2 linked regions of the Elephas maximus indicus genome follow. The protein of the gene in region 2 interacts with the protein of the main gene of each other region in a pairwise test. Links are inferred from orthologs where the notes say so. Each region holds a gene or a part of one and is shown on either strand. Other genes may lie near its edges.

Region 1 (6,960 bases), on a different chromosome or scaffold from region 2:
AAGCAAAATTCAATCATGCCTATGTAACGAGGTCCCCAAAAGACTCTAGTCAGGGAAGCTCCAAGGGCTTCCTGGTTGGCAAAAGACAGTGATGGACACGGGTGGGTAGTGTCCCTTTTGGGGCCGGAAGCTCCATGTTGGCAACGCTATCCAGTATCCAGATGCTGCCCTAATGAAGCTGTAACCCAGTAAGTGTAACACTTTCTGTGAGTCATTATAGTGAATTATCAAACCCAAGGTAGTGGGAAGATCCCAGATTTGTAGCTATCAGGTCAGAAGTGAGGGTGTCACAGGGGACTCCCAAGCTTGTGACCAGCACGAAGTCTCGGGAAGACCTGGCATCTAGAGAACACTAACATTTAGCTTGTGAGATCTGACCTAACTCCAGGTGGTTGGTTAGGATGAAAGGCATGCTGGACAGAAATGTCTCAGGAGAGAATCTGCAAAGGTTTCCGAGTTGGAGCCTATGACCATCTAGATGCAATGGGAGCAGTTTCTGGCTGGTAAAGGCCTTGTGGCCCTGGTTCCAAGCTCACCTTGACCAACTTATCCCAGCCACAGGAAACGATGATGGGGTTGCTGCTGTTGGGGGAGAAGCGGACGCAAGACACCCACTCCGAGTGGCTCTCATCCTACAGGAGACAGAGAAATAAGGGGAAACATTCTGGCCCATGAAACTCTAGACCACTATTCCTCCTCTCAGCTATGTGAGATGGATGCTAGCAGTCTTATATTCTCGTCCCGAAACTTTTAGATGCCAGACAATACTTGAAACCACCACACGTGATTAACGTTTAAGAGGAAGAGCGGGAATGAACCTCAAAGATGCACTCTTTCCCCCATGCCTTCACTTTACCTGTACAGTGTACTTGCAGACACCCAGAGTATTCCACAGCTTGATGGTTTTATCTCGGGAGCCAGAGACAATTTGCCGGTTGTCAGAAGAGAAGGCCACACTCAGCACATCCTTAGTATGGCCCACAAATCGTCGTGTGGTGGTGCCCCTGAGAAGGAGGACCTGGTCACTCTCTACAGACACCTTGCAAACTTTCTCCTACCACAGTCACATCATTTTCCGGGCCTTGTCCCTGTCCCCAGGGGATTTTCTTTACTCAGATAACCCAAGCTATGGCTCTGACCACAGCAAGCTTTTGTCTGAGTATATGCCAGAGAATCCCTCAGAATTGCAGGACATGTCCTCACTCCCACATGGGGATCAGCTGACAATGTCATCTGTCATCACCAGGATGCTCCATTATAATTGTCACCAGCTGACCAACACCCAGGACAGAGCTACCAAGGCCAAACATTTTCAAACCACTGTGTGTACTCCTAACTGCTTCACTCAATTCAAATTGCCCACATGGCACTGTTGTTATAACGCTTGGCTGCTAACCAAAGGTTGGTGGTTTGAACCCACCAGCCACTCCACAGGAGAAAGATGTGGCTGTCTGCTTCTGTAAAGATTTATAGCCTTGGAAACCCTATGGGGCAGTTCTACTGTCTTCTAGGGTCTCTCTGAGTCTGAATCAACCAAGGAGGGAGGACTCAGCCATTTTCCTCATTTCTGCCCAGCTTTCCCCCCAAGGCCCCAAAGCTAAGCGAGCAGGTACTTGCGTTGTGAGATCCCAGAGGCGCAGTGTCCCATCCCAGGAGCCAGAGAGGGCAAACTGGCCATCAGAGGAGATAACCACGTCACTAACAAAGTGAGAGTGGCCACGCAGAGCACGCTGGGGGATGCCATAGTTGGTCTCATCCCTAGTCAGCTTCCACATGATGATAGTCTTATCTAAGGAGAGATAAAACAAAAAGTAAACCCATTGAGAAACTCTGCCCTCCTCTATACTAGCCATCCTGCCAGTCTGAACTCTGCAGCTACCTTGCTGATTACTGGATAATCCAAAATGTCTCGAGGTCATGGGTTTACAAGATGACAAATTACAGAGAAGCTTGACAAGGAGGTAAACTATACGCTAGTAAGAAGTTACTTGCTGGAATAGAGAGATAAAACTAAAAAGTCTTTCATACAAATGTAAATCAGGGGTTCAGAATTTTGCTAGGGGCTGAGACTGAGATCAATTCAATAACCCTTTCGTGTCCTATCTGAGGTCTAATGCAGAAACAGAGCAGCCTGGGTGTAGAGGACTCGTCGTGGGCACCGGGACTATTTTTGAGGATTGCCAGAAGTGAATCAGTGTTGGAAAGTTGTTCTGCACGCTACAGGGTTGGATGATTTCACTAAAACGTGTCCTACACTATAAACTTTACAATTAAGGGCCAGCCCTAATCCTAGCTTCAAAAAACTCCCAGTGTGGGAGCATTTGGAAAGCACAGGAAGCCTCCAAACGCACTCAGGCCGACCGAGAATGAGAGGAAGAGAAGCCAGGGCATAGAGTAGGTGCCGGTCAAATCCAGGTTTGTGCCATGGAGCTCCCCTGGAGACCACCAATTCCCAAAAGAGCCGAGGGCCGGGCGACAGCTCAGAAACAGCCTCTGGGTCTCAGCACCTATGCTCAGATGGCATGTTGTAATCATCACCGCTCCGCCAGGCCTGTAGGCTCGTGGGCACAACTAGCTACACCGTGCAGAAGCGTGAAGGCTATAAAGAAACCTCCCACCCTCCTGGCGGCCACAGGCTGTTCCTCGGTACTTCATTAGCAATGATGGGAATGCCTTACCGGGCTCAGCCGGGTCACATGTCCCCCCTCAAACCCCGGCGGAGTCTTTCGGACCCGCGACTCGCGCACCACAGCCCAGCCTCGTAAGGCGCGCAACCCTCCTCCTGCACCTCAGTACGTACCTCGCGAGGCAGACAGTATCATGTCCGGGAACTGTGGAGTGGTAGCGATCTGGGTAACCCATCCGTTGTGGCCCTTGAGGGTGCCACGAAGGGTCATTTGCTCAGTCATGACGGCGGCGGGTGCGAGGGTCGCCGCAGCGACGAGGATGGCACCAGATAGCTCAGAGAGACCAGCAGCACCGGCGCTCTCGCCGCGGCCCTGCGTAGAAAAAGATCGAGGAACCCACTGCCGGAACCGGAAATACCCGCCCGCCCGACCAAAATGGTGGCTCCCATGATTCACTTCTGCTTAAGATGGCAGCGCCATGTAGCCGAAACAGCTGTTGAAATCGCACGACACGTCCCCTCCGCCACGCAACATAATTTGACAGCTCCGCACGAATACACTCTGAAACTATCACGACCGAATATTTAAAGAGGTTCCTTAAACCTTTGCTGGGGTGTGATTTCTTAGACGTGAAAGAGTTGAAATGTACGGCACATTCCCATGAGGATCGCCTTACGGCTTCACCGTCCGCTAGGTGGCACAACGCGAGCCCCGCCCTTTCCGCTTGGTAGTTCAGAGGACAATGAAGCGGGTACTTAATTTCGAGATCCCAACTGTGAGTACCTGTGGGCAATTTGGGGGAAAAAAGCCGTATTAAAGAAACATAAACTTTCGAACCATGCTCAGGTGAACTCTCAAACCCTAACATATTTTCATGCCAGAACGCCGCTCAGGGAAGTAGATCGGGAGGACCGCAGCCGTTATCACCTGTACAAAATAAAGGGGGGATTGTATATAGTATTTGGAGCCCTGGTGACATAGTGGTTAAGAGCTCGGTTGCTAACCAAAGGGTCAGCAGTTCAAATCCACCAGCTGCTCCTTGGAAGTCCTATGGGGGCAGTTCTACTCTGTCATATAGGGTCGCTGAGTCGGAACGGACTGGATGGCACCCAACAACATACATATTTACTTTCTATTTGTAATATGCTTTAACGTTAGTCTCTTCTCTGAAATACGATTGGAAATGATAGTGCCTACCTCACCTGGTGTTATGGAGAGTAATCGAGTCAAGAAAGGTAAAGCGCCCAGAACAATGCCTGATAGAATTAATCTGTGTAACTTATTTAGTTCACATCCCTTGGGCACCACGTCGTGTTTTAGGTCTTGGTGATACAGCTGCAAAGAAACGAGGACCCCCTTCTTGGCGCTTACATTCTTTGGTGGTGATGGGTGGTTGAGTGGGACATTGGAGACAGGAAATTAGATCTGGGAGAGGGCCATGTGGAGAGATGGGGGAACAATGTGCCAGTCAGAGGGAAGGCATATGAGGAAGAATGTTTCATTTGGAATAAAGAGTTAGTGCAAAGGTCCTGAGCTAGAGTGTCAGAGAAAGAGTTATTGGAGAAACTAAGGACAGAGCAGTGGGATGGAGGTGGGGGCAGTTCACATAGTGCCTCAAGGATTTAGGGAAGGATCTTGGCAACACGTGCTGGAAGGCTTGGAAAGAGGATGGCAAAAGTCAGGGAAGGAGGCAGTGGCAGCCCCATGTTGTGAAGGCCAGGACCCATCCCTTGTGGCCACCAGACCTGGTCCAGTGAAGATTCCCCTGCAGCTTCCTTTGGGCATTTGGCCCTGTCCTGGCTGCCCCCTCCTCCTCCCCAGCCTGATGCCTGTCCTCCTAGGGCCCCAGGTGTGGACATCACCTGTCTCCCTGGCACCCCCAAATGGTTGTCCTTTCACTATTGCAACACTGAACTCTCCCCTGACCCACATGTTTTCTTTCTTCTGCGGTCGTGGGAGCCCCATGCTTTCACCAACCCCAATATCCAGTTCGCTGCCCGTGATTTGGGTCAGGCCATCCTGGCCCCATAGGTGCTTCTCACAAATGGAGAGGTGAGTTACTCCAGTGAGTCTCTGGTGTGCTATGCAAGGGCTTCCCCACTTCCCCTGGGAACATCATAAGTTACATTATTACATCCCTCTCCCCGCCTAAAATCAAAAACACCTCATCCTGCTGTTTAACTTTGCCCAGGGAGCCCCTGTGGAAATCTGCAACCTTGAGGTAGGACTGGGGAGTCTGGGTTTAAAATGAGGCCCCCCCTGCCCCCCACTCCCATGTGCTCAAGGATGGGACCTTTCTGCACTGCCCAGCCCCTTTCCAGGAGGCTCTGCCTCTCCAGAGCACCTCTCCCACATCCTCCCCCGCATCCATACCTCCTCTTTCCTCTTTCTGGAGACCCGGACTTCCAAAGGTGCCTTCTGCTTTTGGCTGGTCTCCCTCATCCCTTACTCTATGAGCTGATTCTAGCAGCGCCCTCCTGTGGAGGTGAGGGAGAAATTCTTGTTTTGCCACAGAGCCCATGGAGCCCAGGGGAATGTCAGTTGGAGGAGAGGGAGAAATGGAGTATACGGTTCACTTCTCAGACGATCAGTCCCTGTAGGATTTGGGCTTTTCCTCTGGAGTTTTCCTCACCCCCTTCCTTCCTGTTTTAAGAAAAGGGATGCTAGTACTTTTCAATGGCCACTGAAGGACAATCCTGAGCTGAGGGAGTTGCCCCAACCTTGGGGACCACTTGGGGTGTAATTTGGGGAGGGGATGGAGGTGGAGCAGCTGCTTTTCCAGCTCAGCACCCACCTGGGTTGAGCCCCATCCATGCTTGCTTACCGGGTATACGTGCCTGGCCTGGGTTAGGGACCCTACCTAGACTTCTCATTCCTTGGGAAGAATTTGTGGATTTGCTCTTGGCCAGCAAAGGGGCCCTAGTGTCCTGCCTGTGACTCCAGGCTGGTCCCTTGTAGCAGTGTGACATCTCAGCTCTACAAGGCTGAAAATTAGCTACATTCCTCCCACGAGAAGTCTGCATTCACCAGTTTGGGGTGGGCCTTGTCCTTGCCCAGGGAAGGGCTCCTCTCAATGATCATTTTTTCTTAATCCCACAGAGGTGGAAAGCCTGTTGGAGGCCCCCCTCCCCCCGCCAGACTTAGAGCTCTCTGCATGCAAGAGCCTTCTTCCTGCTCTGTCTACCTCCCTCTCTCCTCCTAGCCCACTGCTCTGTTGGCAAAGCCTTCTTCACTGGGCCTACCGCTTCTGGCCCTAGTTCAACTTAGTCTTACCCCGTCTCTGAGCCTTTTGACTACCCCCGTTCTCCCACCTCTTAAGCCCATGAGTACCACCTCCACTCCACACAAGGTAAGAATGCCCTTGGAGAGGCTCTTCTAAGAGTGGTCTCTCTAGGATTCTGATCACCATTCCTTTACTGGAGGGAGTCCACAGGATCACACAGTTGAAAAGAGCTCCTCATGCCTCCCTGCCAAAGGCCTGTTACCTCACTGGAGTGACCATTTCTCCAGGATCAGAGGCCTCCCCCCATCCCCACATCAGCACTTAGGGACCATTGGGGGTATGACAGGTCTTCTCTTGGATGCTGAGGTCAGGGCTGTTGGAAGTGGTAGGTGAGGGAAAGGTCACCAGGACTAGAGGGCCTGCTTGCTGTCTGCTAAAGTTCTGTAGGCAGGTGGCTTCCTCTTGTACTTTAAGATCAAAATCTCTACTGTCACCATCCAGATCCAGTGTGGCTGGCTCTGGAATGCCCCAAGCTGTGTTTTGTAGCCATGCTGGCCCTCTTCTCCTCCTCCCACCCATCAGTTCTTTCTCACATAGAACTTTTATACACACTATTCTTCTGTCTGGAAGGCCTGTGATATCCCACTCCTCTTCTCTTATTAAATCTAAGCTTCCTTCCAGCCTCAGCTGGTGTTGCCTCTTCAAGGAAGCCCTCTGTGATGCTCAGGTCTAGGTCAGGTTACTTTGTTTCATGGCTCATGGTAGTGTAGGGTATGCTGCTCCTTCATAGCACTCAGCTCAATTTGCAGTTATTTGAATTCCTCAAGGCTCTCTTGGGAGTGCCCTGAGAACAGGGACTGGCTTCTTTCTGACTTGCAGCATCCCCAGCACCTGGTAGAGTATGTGGCATGTGGAAGACTTAACCTTGGTGGCTAGTCTCACAGGCTGAGTAGTAAAGGGCGAGTCATTAGAGGGAGGGGAGGGTATTCCAGGGAGAGGAATGGGGGTTGGTGCAGAAGGAGGGAAAAAAGTGCATAAGTCAAGTGGTTTGTGTGCACAAGTCGGAGGGATGGCTTCAAGAGAAGGAATAAAGGGAGTGGACAGAGTAAA
Region 2 (7,374 bases):
ACAAGGCTAATCCAAGCACTGGTTGAAAAATTACTGCAATTATAACAAAAGAGACTTCCTAAGCTAACTTGTCATCTGCTTAACATCATCCCATTCATCCTCATTAGAATAGACTGCACTCGGTCTACTTGGCTGTTGGCCAATCAAATACCATCACACTAAAGCTAGCTTTATGACTGAAAAATCTCACTTAAGAGGTTTAAAAAAAAAAAGCTAGTTTGTGATGAAGCAGGCAGTAAAGTTCACCTTGCAGAGCTGAATGTAATAAATATACTGGGACAGTCCAATAATGAACAGGGCACTGGCATTGGGATGAAGACCCCTGTGTCTATTCCCATTTCTGTGCATTTGCTTGCCTGATTAAAGAGTTTTAAAACACAGAGTATACGGGTCTGGAAGTAGAAGAGGCAACTGGAAGTCTGCTCAGATAGAGTAACACAGATTAAAGGTACCCCACTTCCTTTCATTCAAATAATAGACTGGCTTATAAAATAAACAATATTACCCGTGAGTACTGTACTCCCTTACATAATCCACTGTATGAGAACAAACCGTCAACATTTACCCTAATGCAAAGATTAGAAGCAGGGGCATGAGAGCTAGATTAATGGAAACGGAACAGAATGGAAATGAGAATGCTGACACGTTGTGAAGAATGTAACCAATGTCACTGGACCAATTTTTGTTAAATGGGATCCTAATCTGCTGTGTAAACTTTCACCCAAAACACAATATTATTAAAACAAAACAAAACTTGGTACTCTTGGTAATTTTGCAGATTTTTTTTTAAAATACTTGTTATGTTTATTTGGCAAGGAAGTGCTTCTGAGGTCTGACTTCCCTCATACTCCTTTGCAAGTAAACACCTTTTCCTTTCTAAATGTTTGCGTTTTCCCTTCACATGACCATATTAAAACCTTAGAAAAATCCTACAGTCAGAAGCTTTAACTTAGCATTTCCCAAACTTATTTGGAGGCCATATAGTTTATGAGAGCATGGACTCTAATGTCACACCTCTGCCACTGAGTGGATTTTTGTGCGATCTGTGGAATGGTGTTGGTTCTGGATTACGTGAGACATGGCTGGTAGAGCACCTAAAAAGCACCCAGAACATACATCAGCCCCCTAAATGGAGATCTTTTCCCAACATTCCAACCTACTCTTAGTTTACATGTAACAATATTCTATAGGATGCCCCTGTTTGGGAAATACAGGATTAAAGTTCTCAGGTCAGGCCATCTTGGGGTGTAGAAGGAATAAAACAAGATGATCCTGATTTAAATTCTTAATTCTGCACTTCAGTGTAAAATTTGGGGCAAGTTTCAAGTACTTCTGGGTGTAAGCTTTCCTTATCTTTAAAATTAGATACTATAAGGAGTTGTGATTCACTTATAAAGCATTACATAAAGGTGCCCTCTTTTGCAGACATTTTACGAGCTGTAGACTGGGTTCAAGAATGGTAGAATTAAACCATAAAAGTAGATGGAGGAATAGATAAAACTTCCTACGTAGCAAGCTAGTATTTGCTTTTTAGTACGCAAAGACATAGGAGCATTCCCTCCAACAGGAGAAAAAATATACGCAAATAATATATATGCAGAGATCAAAAAAAGACCTTCTAGTACAAATAACCTAGCAAAAGTCTTTTCTATGGACACTAAATTCATCAAATGTCTAACAACTGCTTAACAAAAGCCACCTGGGCCTTGGATAAACTGGATGAACAGTTTATACACACTAATGCTAACAGAAAGCTTTAAACAGTCACTTATCAATTATTCATACTAATGAAGAGAAGTAACACTATCGATTATATGTAAATGAACTGTTTATTACATAACCAAACTATACAGCTTTTTTTTTTTTTTTTAGCAATGTTTCCCAAACAGGTATTGCTAATATCAATTATTAAAATAAATTTGTATCTTCCAAGCATACAATTCAACAGGACTGGGGTTCCAATACCGTTAAGCTACAAGCTAACGAAGGAGTAAGAGTGTTACGCAACCAAGCTGTTTCCATTTCACAGCAGCAATCAGACCTTAGCCATCTGGTTTTGAATTTTCTACACTAAATCATCCATTGCTGTCGCGAGCATTTCTCCAGTAAATGGGTCTCTCAGTAAGATGAGGGCATCAGTCAATCTCTTTCAGCCTCAGTTTCACGCACCGTAAAATGGAAGCAAATGTGCCTCGCTGTGAGCTCTAGTGACAACGTATATAAAAGGCTTGGTAACATGCGGGATGCTTAACAGGTTTTCGGTAAACGCTCCCTGTGTTATTTTCTGCACAATTTTTACTAATTCTATGCCAGTTCAGGTTACATCCGTGTCCTTCCAACTAAATCTTCAGCTTTTCAGCTAGAAAGTCAAAGGCTGGCTGACGGGAAGCGAAGGGGCTCTGGGTCCCCCAGATTCTTCGAGGATCTTCAATCGCGTAACCACCCACCGCGGCGTGGTGCCCTCGTTAGGAAACCACCAGAGCCCTTCACTCAGTTTCAAATCTCCCTTCCCAGCGACACTGCAGGCGCCAGGAGACCGCGTCCCACCCCCGGCCCGCTCCGGCCCAGCCGGCCTCCTCCCAGCCGCAGGCGCCCAAGCCCGCTGCGCAGCCTGCCCCGCCGCGCCCGCGGCTCCGAGCTCGGCCGGGGGACACGGGCCCGCACCCGCCGCGGCCCGGGCTCGGGCTCCGACAGCGCGCTAACCCGCTCGGAAGGCCCACGACTCTACTCGGCCCTGGGCTCGCTGCTCCGGCCGCAGGGCTAGGGCGCTGCGGCTGCTCGGGGCCGGGAAGGGGCGCCCCCGGATTCCGCGGCGCCCGCCGGGGGGCGCTGGCCACCCTTCGGGCCACGGGCGGCCTGTGCCGCGGCGCCGCGCACGGACCTGCAAGTGACCTGCTTGGTGCTCATGGTGGTCGGGCTGGGGGGCAGTCGTCGCGCCACTGCCTCTCGCTGTCGCCCTCGCCGCCACCGCCTCGGCCTTGGCCCTGCCCATCCCGCGCGGCCGCGTCACGTCGGCGCGCACCGCCCTCCGCGTGTGGCACTTTTGTAGCGCCGGCCAGAAACCTGACCGCCGTCATAATTGGTTCCGCCGCAGAGGGTGGGCATGGTCCGGTCCCCCTAGCCTTGCCGTCTGTGTGCCGCATTTCTAAGCCTCCGGGGCGGGTCTTGGCTGGCGTCCTAGTTCTCCCCGACTAGTTCCGGGTCCTCATAGTTCTTAGGATTTGGCCGGGTCTCCAGTGGCAATCCCTAGCGACGTCTGCTGTCTCTAGGGTCTCCTCACACCTTCCCCTGGCCGAGCTCCCGCCTCCTCCCCGCACACTTTCATCCCAAATACCCCTACTCATCCAGGCTTGCACTCCCTAGGCCCCTTTCCCCCTTAAGGAATTTTTAGTCCCCTCTGACTCTTCTTTACCCTTTTTTCAAAATTTCTATTCCCACCCTACTTTTTAGTCCTCTTTTCCTTTCCTGACATTCCTGTGATGTTCATCTTCACTTCCTACGGTGGAAATCCAAAAAGACAGTCTTCAAACTTACTCTGATTTACTATAACCTGCACAAAAATTTACTCAAAATTAGCTCTTACTGAAATGTAAGCACAAAAATTACAAAACTTTTGGAATAAAATATAGAAAATTTTTATGACCTTAGATTAGGCAGATTTCTTAGCTATGACATCTGAATGATGTAAGAAAAATATGACAAATTGCACTTCATCAAAATTAAAAACTTTTGCTCTTCAAAAGACACTGCTAAGAAAAGAAAAGCCACAGGAGAAAATGTTTGCAAATCATTTACCTGACAAAGGTCTTGTATCTAGAATAAAGAATCCTTAAAACTCAGTACAAAAATAAAGATCTAATTAAGAGATGGGAAGACACTTTACCAAAGAAAATATATGAATGGCAAATAAGCACAGCATAAGAAGCTCATATCATCAGCATCATTAACAATTAAAACCACAAAATCAAACCCATTGCTGTTGAGTTAATTTTGACTTAGAGCAACCCCATGCGTTACAGAATAGAGCTGCTCCGTCACGTTTTCTTGGCTGAAATTTCTACGAAAGCTGATCCCTAAGCCTTTATTCTGCAGTGCTGCTGCTGGGTTCAAGTCATCAGTCTTTAGTAGTTGAGCACAAACTGTTTGTACCATCCAAGAACCTCATTAATAATTAGGGAAATACAAACTAAAGTCACAACAAGATACCACTACACACCCACTTCTTGTTGTTGTTGTTAGGTGCCATCGAGTTGGTTCCGACTCATAGCGACCCTATGCACAACAGAACGAAACACTGCCTGGTCCTGCGCCATCCTTACAATCGTTGTTATGCTTGAGCTTATTGTTGCAGCCACTGTGTCAATCCACCTAGTTGAGGGTCTTCCTCTTTTCTGCCGACCCTGTACTCTGCCAAGCATGATGTCCTTCTCCAGGGACTGATGCCTCCTGACAACATGTCCAAAGTATGTAAGACGCAGTCTCGCCATCCTTGCCTCTAAGGAGCATTCTGGCCGCACTTCTTCCAAGACAGATTTGTTCATTCTTTTGGCAGTCCATGGTATATTCAATATTCTTCACCAACACCACAATTCAAAGGTATCAACTCTTCTTTGGTCTTCCTTATTCATTGCCCAGCTTTCACATGCATATGATGCGATTGAAAATACCATGGCTTGGGTCAGGCGCACCTTAGTCTTCAGGGTGACATCTTTGCTCTTCAACACTTTGAAGAGGTCCTTTGCAGCAGATTTACCCAATGCAATGCGTCTTTTGATTTCTTGACTGCTGCTTCCATGGCTGTTGATTGTGGATCCAAGCAAAATGAAATCCTGGACAACTTCAATCTTTTCTCCGTTTATCATGATGTTGCTTATTGGTCCAGTTGTGAGGATTTTTGTTTTCTTTATGTTGAGGTTTAATCCATACTGAAGGCTGTGGTCTTTGATCTTCATTAGTAAGTGCTTCAAATCCTCTTCACTTTCAGCAAGCAAGGTTGTGTCATCTGCATAACGCAGGTTGTTAACGAGTCTTCCTCCAATCCTGATGCCCTGTTCTTCTTCATATAGTCCAGCTTCTCGGATTATTTGCTCAGTATACAGATTAAATAGGTATAGTGAAAGAATACAACCCTGACGCACACCGTTCCTGACCTTAAACCAATCAGTATCCCCTTGTTCTGTCTGAACAACTGCCTCTTGGTTTATGTACAGGTTCCTCATGAGCACAATTAAGCGTTCTGGAATTCCCATTCTTCGCAGTGTTATCCATAGTTTGTTATGATCCACACAGTCGAATGCCTTTGCATAGTCCATAAAACACAGGTAAACATCCTTTTGGTATTCTCTGCTTCCAGCCAGGATCCATCTGACATCAGCAATGATATCCTTGGTTCCATGTCCTCTTCTAAAACCAGCCTGAATTTCTGGCAGTTCCCTGTCGATATACTGCTACAGCCGTTTTTGAATGATCTTCAGCAAAATTTTCTTGCGTGTGATATTAATGATATTGTTCTATAATTTCCACATTCGGTTGGATCACCGTTCTTGGGAATAGGCTTAAATATGGATCTCCTCCAGTCAGTTGGCCAGGAACCTGTCTTCCATATTTCTTGGCATAGACAAGTGAGTACCTCCAGTGCTGCATCTGCTTGTTGAAACATCTCAATTGATATTCCGTCAATTCCTGGAGCCTTGTTTTTTGCCAATGCCTTCAGAGCAGCTTGGATTTCTTCCTTCAGTACCATAGGTTCCTGATTATATGCCACCTCTCGAAATAGTTGAATATCGACTAATTCTTTTTGGTATATTGACTCTGTGTATTCCTTCCAGCTTCTTTTGATGCTTCCTGAGTCGTTTAATATTTTTCCCATGGAATCCTTCACTATTGCAACTCGAGGCTTGAATTTTTTCTTCAGTTCTTTCAGCTTGAGAAACGCCAAGCGTGTTCTTCCCTTTTGGTTTTCCATCTCCAGCTCTTTGCACATGTCATTATAATACTTTACTTTGTTTTCTCGAACCGCCCTTTGAAATCTTCTGTTCAGTTCTTTTACTTCATCAGTTCTGCCTTTTGCTTTAGCTGCTCGACGCTCAAGAGCAAGTTTCAGAGTCTCCTCTGACATCCATCTTGGTCTTTTCTTGCTTTCCTGTCTTTTCAGTGACTTCTTGCTTTCTTCATGGATGATGTCCTTGATGTCATTCCACAACTCATCTGGTCTTCGGTCACTAGTGTTCAATGCATCAAATCTATTCTTGAGATGGTCTCTAAATTCAGGTGGGATATACTCAAGTTCATATTTTGGCTCTCGTGGACTTGCTCTGATTTTCTTCAGTTTCAGCTTGAACTTGCATATGAGCAATTGATGGTCTGTTCCACAGTCGGCCCCTGGCTTTGTTCTGACTGATGATATTGAGCTTTTCCATCGTCTCTTTCCACAGATGTAGTCAATTTGATTTCTGTGTGTTTCATCTGGCGAGGTCCATGTGTACAGTCACCGTTTATGTTGGTGAAAGAAGGTATTTGCAATGAAGAAGTCGCTGGTCTTGCGAAATTCTATCATTTGATCTCTGGCATTGTTTCTATCACCAAGGCCATGTTTTCCAACTACTGATCCTTCTTCTTTGTTTCCAACTTTCCCATTCCAATCGCAGTAATTATAAATGCATCTTGATTGCATGTTCGATCAATTTCAGACTGCAGCAGCTGATAAAAATCTTCTATTTCTTCATCTTTGGCCCTAGCGGTTGGTAGGTAAATTTGAATAATAGTCATATTAACTGGTCTTCCTTGTAGGTGTATGGATGTTATCCTATCACTGACAGCATTGTACTTCAGGATAGATCTTGGAATGTTCTTTTTGACAATGAATGCAACACCATTCCTCTTCGAGTTGTCATTCCCAGCATAGTAGACTATATGATTGTCCAACTCAAAATGGCCAATACCAGTCCATTTCAGCTAACTAATGCCTAGGATTATCGATGTTTATGCATTCCATTTCATTTTTGACGATTTCCAATTTTCCTAGATTCATACTTCGTACATTCCAGGTTCAGATTATTAATGGCTGTTTGCAGCTGCTTCTTTTCATTTTGTGTCGTGCCACATCAGCAAATGAAGGTCCCGAAAGCTTTACTCCATCCACGTCATCAAGGTTGACTCTACTTTGAGGAGGCAGCTCTTCCCCAGTCATCTTTTGAGTGCCTTCCAACCTGGGGGCTCATCTTCCAGCACTATATCAGACAATGTTCCACTGCTATCAGACAATGTTCCACTGCTATTCACACCCACTAGAATGGCTAAATCATAAACATTGACAATTCCAAGTGTTGGTGAGCATATGGAGAAAACTAGAACACTCATACATTATTGGTGGGA

Evidence for each region. The genes of interacting proteins can lie anywhere in the genome.
Region 1: the proteins of MKRN2 (region 2) and RACK1 interact in binary tests that used the Homo sapiens proteins (3 or more experiments, as listed by UniProt). The two-hybrid records come from large-scale screens. The link is inferred for Elephas maximus indicus from reciprocal best matches to the Homo sapiens genes MKRN2 and RACK1.

What each region holds. Positions count from the first base shown.
Region 1 is NC_064820.1:199,936,296-199,943,255, reverse strand, and holds the start of RACK1 (receptor of activated protein C kinase 1), read right to left. Parts: upstream 2,962-6,960; 5' UTR 2,910-2,961; coding exon 2,801-2,909; intron 2,545-2,800; exon of another isoform or gene 2,477-2,544; intron 1,790-2,476; coding exon 1,618-1,789; intron 1,250-1,617; exon of another isoform or gene 1,174-1,249; intron 1,005-1,173; coding exon 857-1,004; intron 633-856; coding exon 537-632; intron 1-536. Other genes in the region: uncharacterized protein LOC126067361, read right to left, coding at 2,962-3,410, 5,001-5,104. UniProt on the Homo sapiens protein: Scaffolding protein involved in the recruitment, assembly and/or regulation of a variety of signaling molecules. Interacts with a wide variety of proteins and plays a role in many cellular processes.
Region 2 is NC_064838.1:37,723,398-37,730,771, reverse strand, and holds the start of MKRN2 (E3 ubiquitin-protein ligase makorin-2), read right to left. Parts: upstream 3,013-7,374; 5' UTR 2,908-3,012; coding exon 2,882-2,907; intron 1-2,881. UniProt on the Homo sapiens protein: E3 ubiquitin ligase catalyzing the covalent attachment of ubiquitin moieties onto substrate proteins.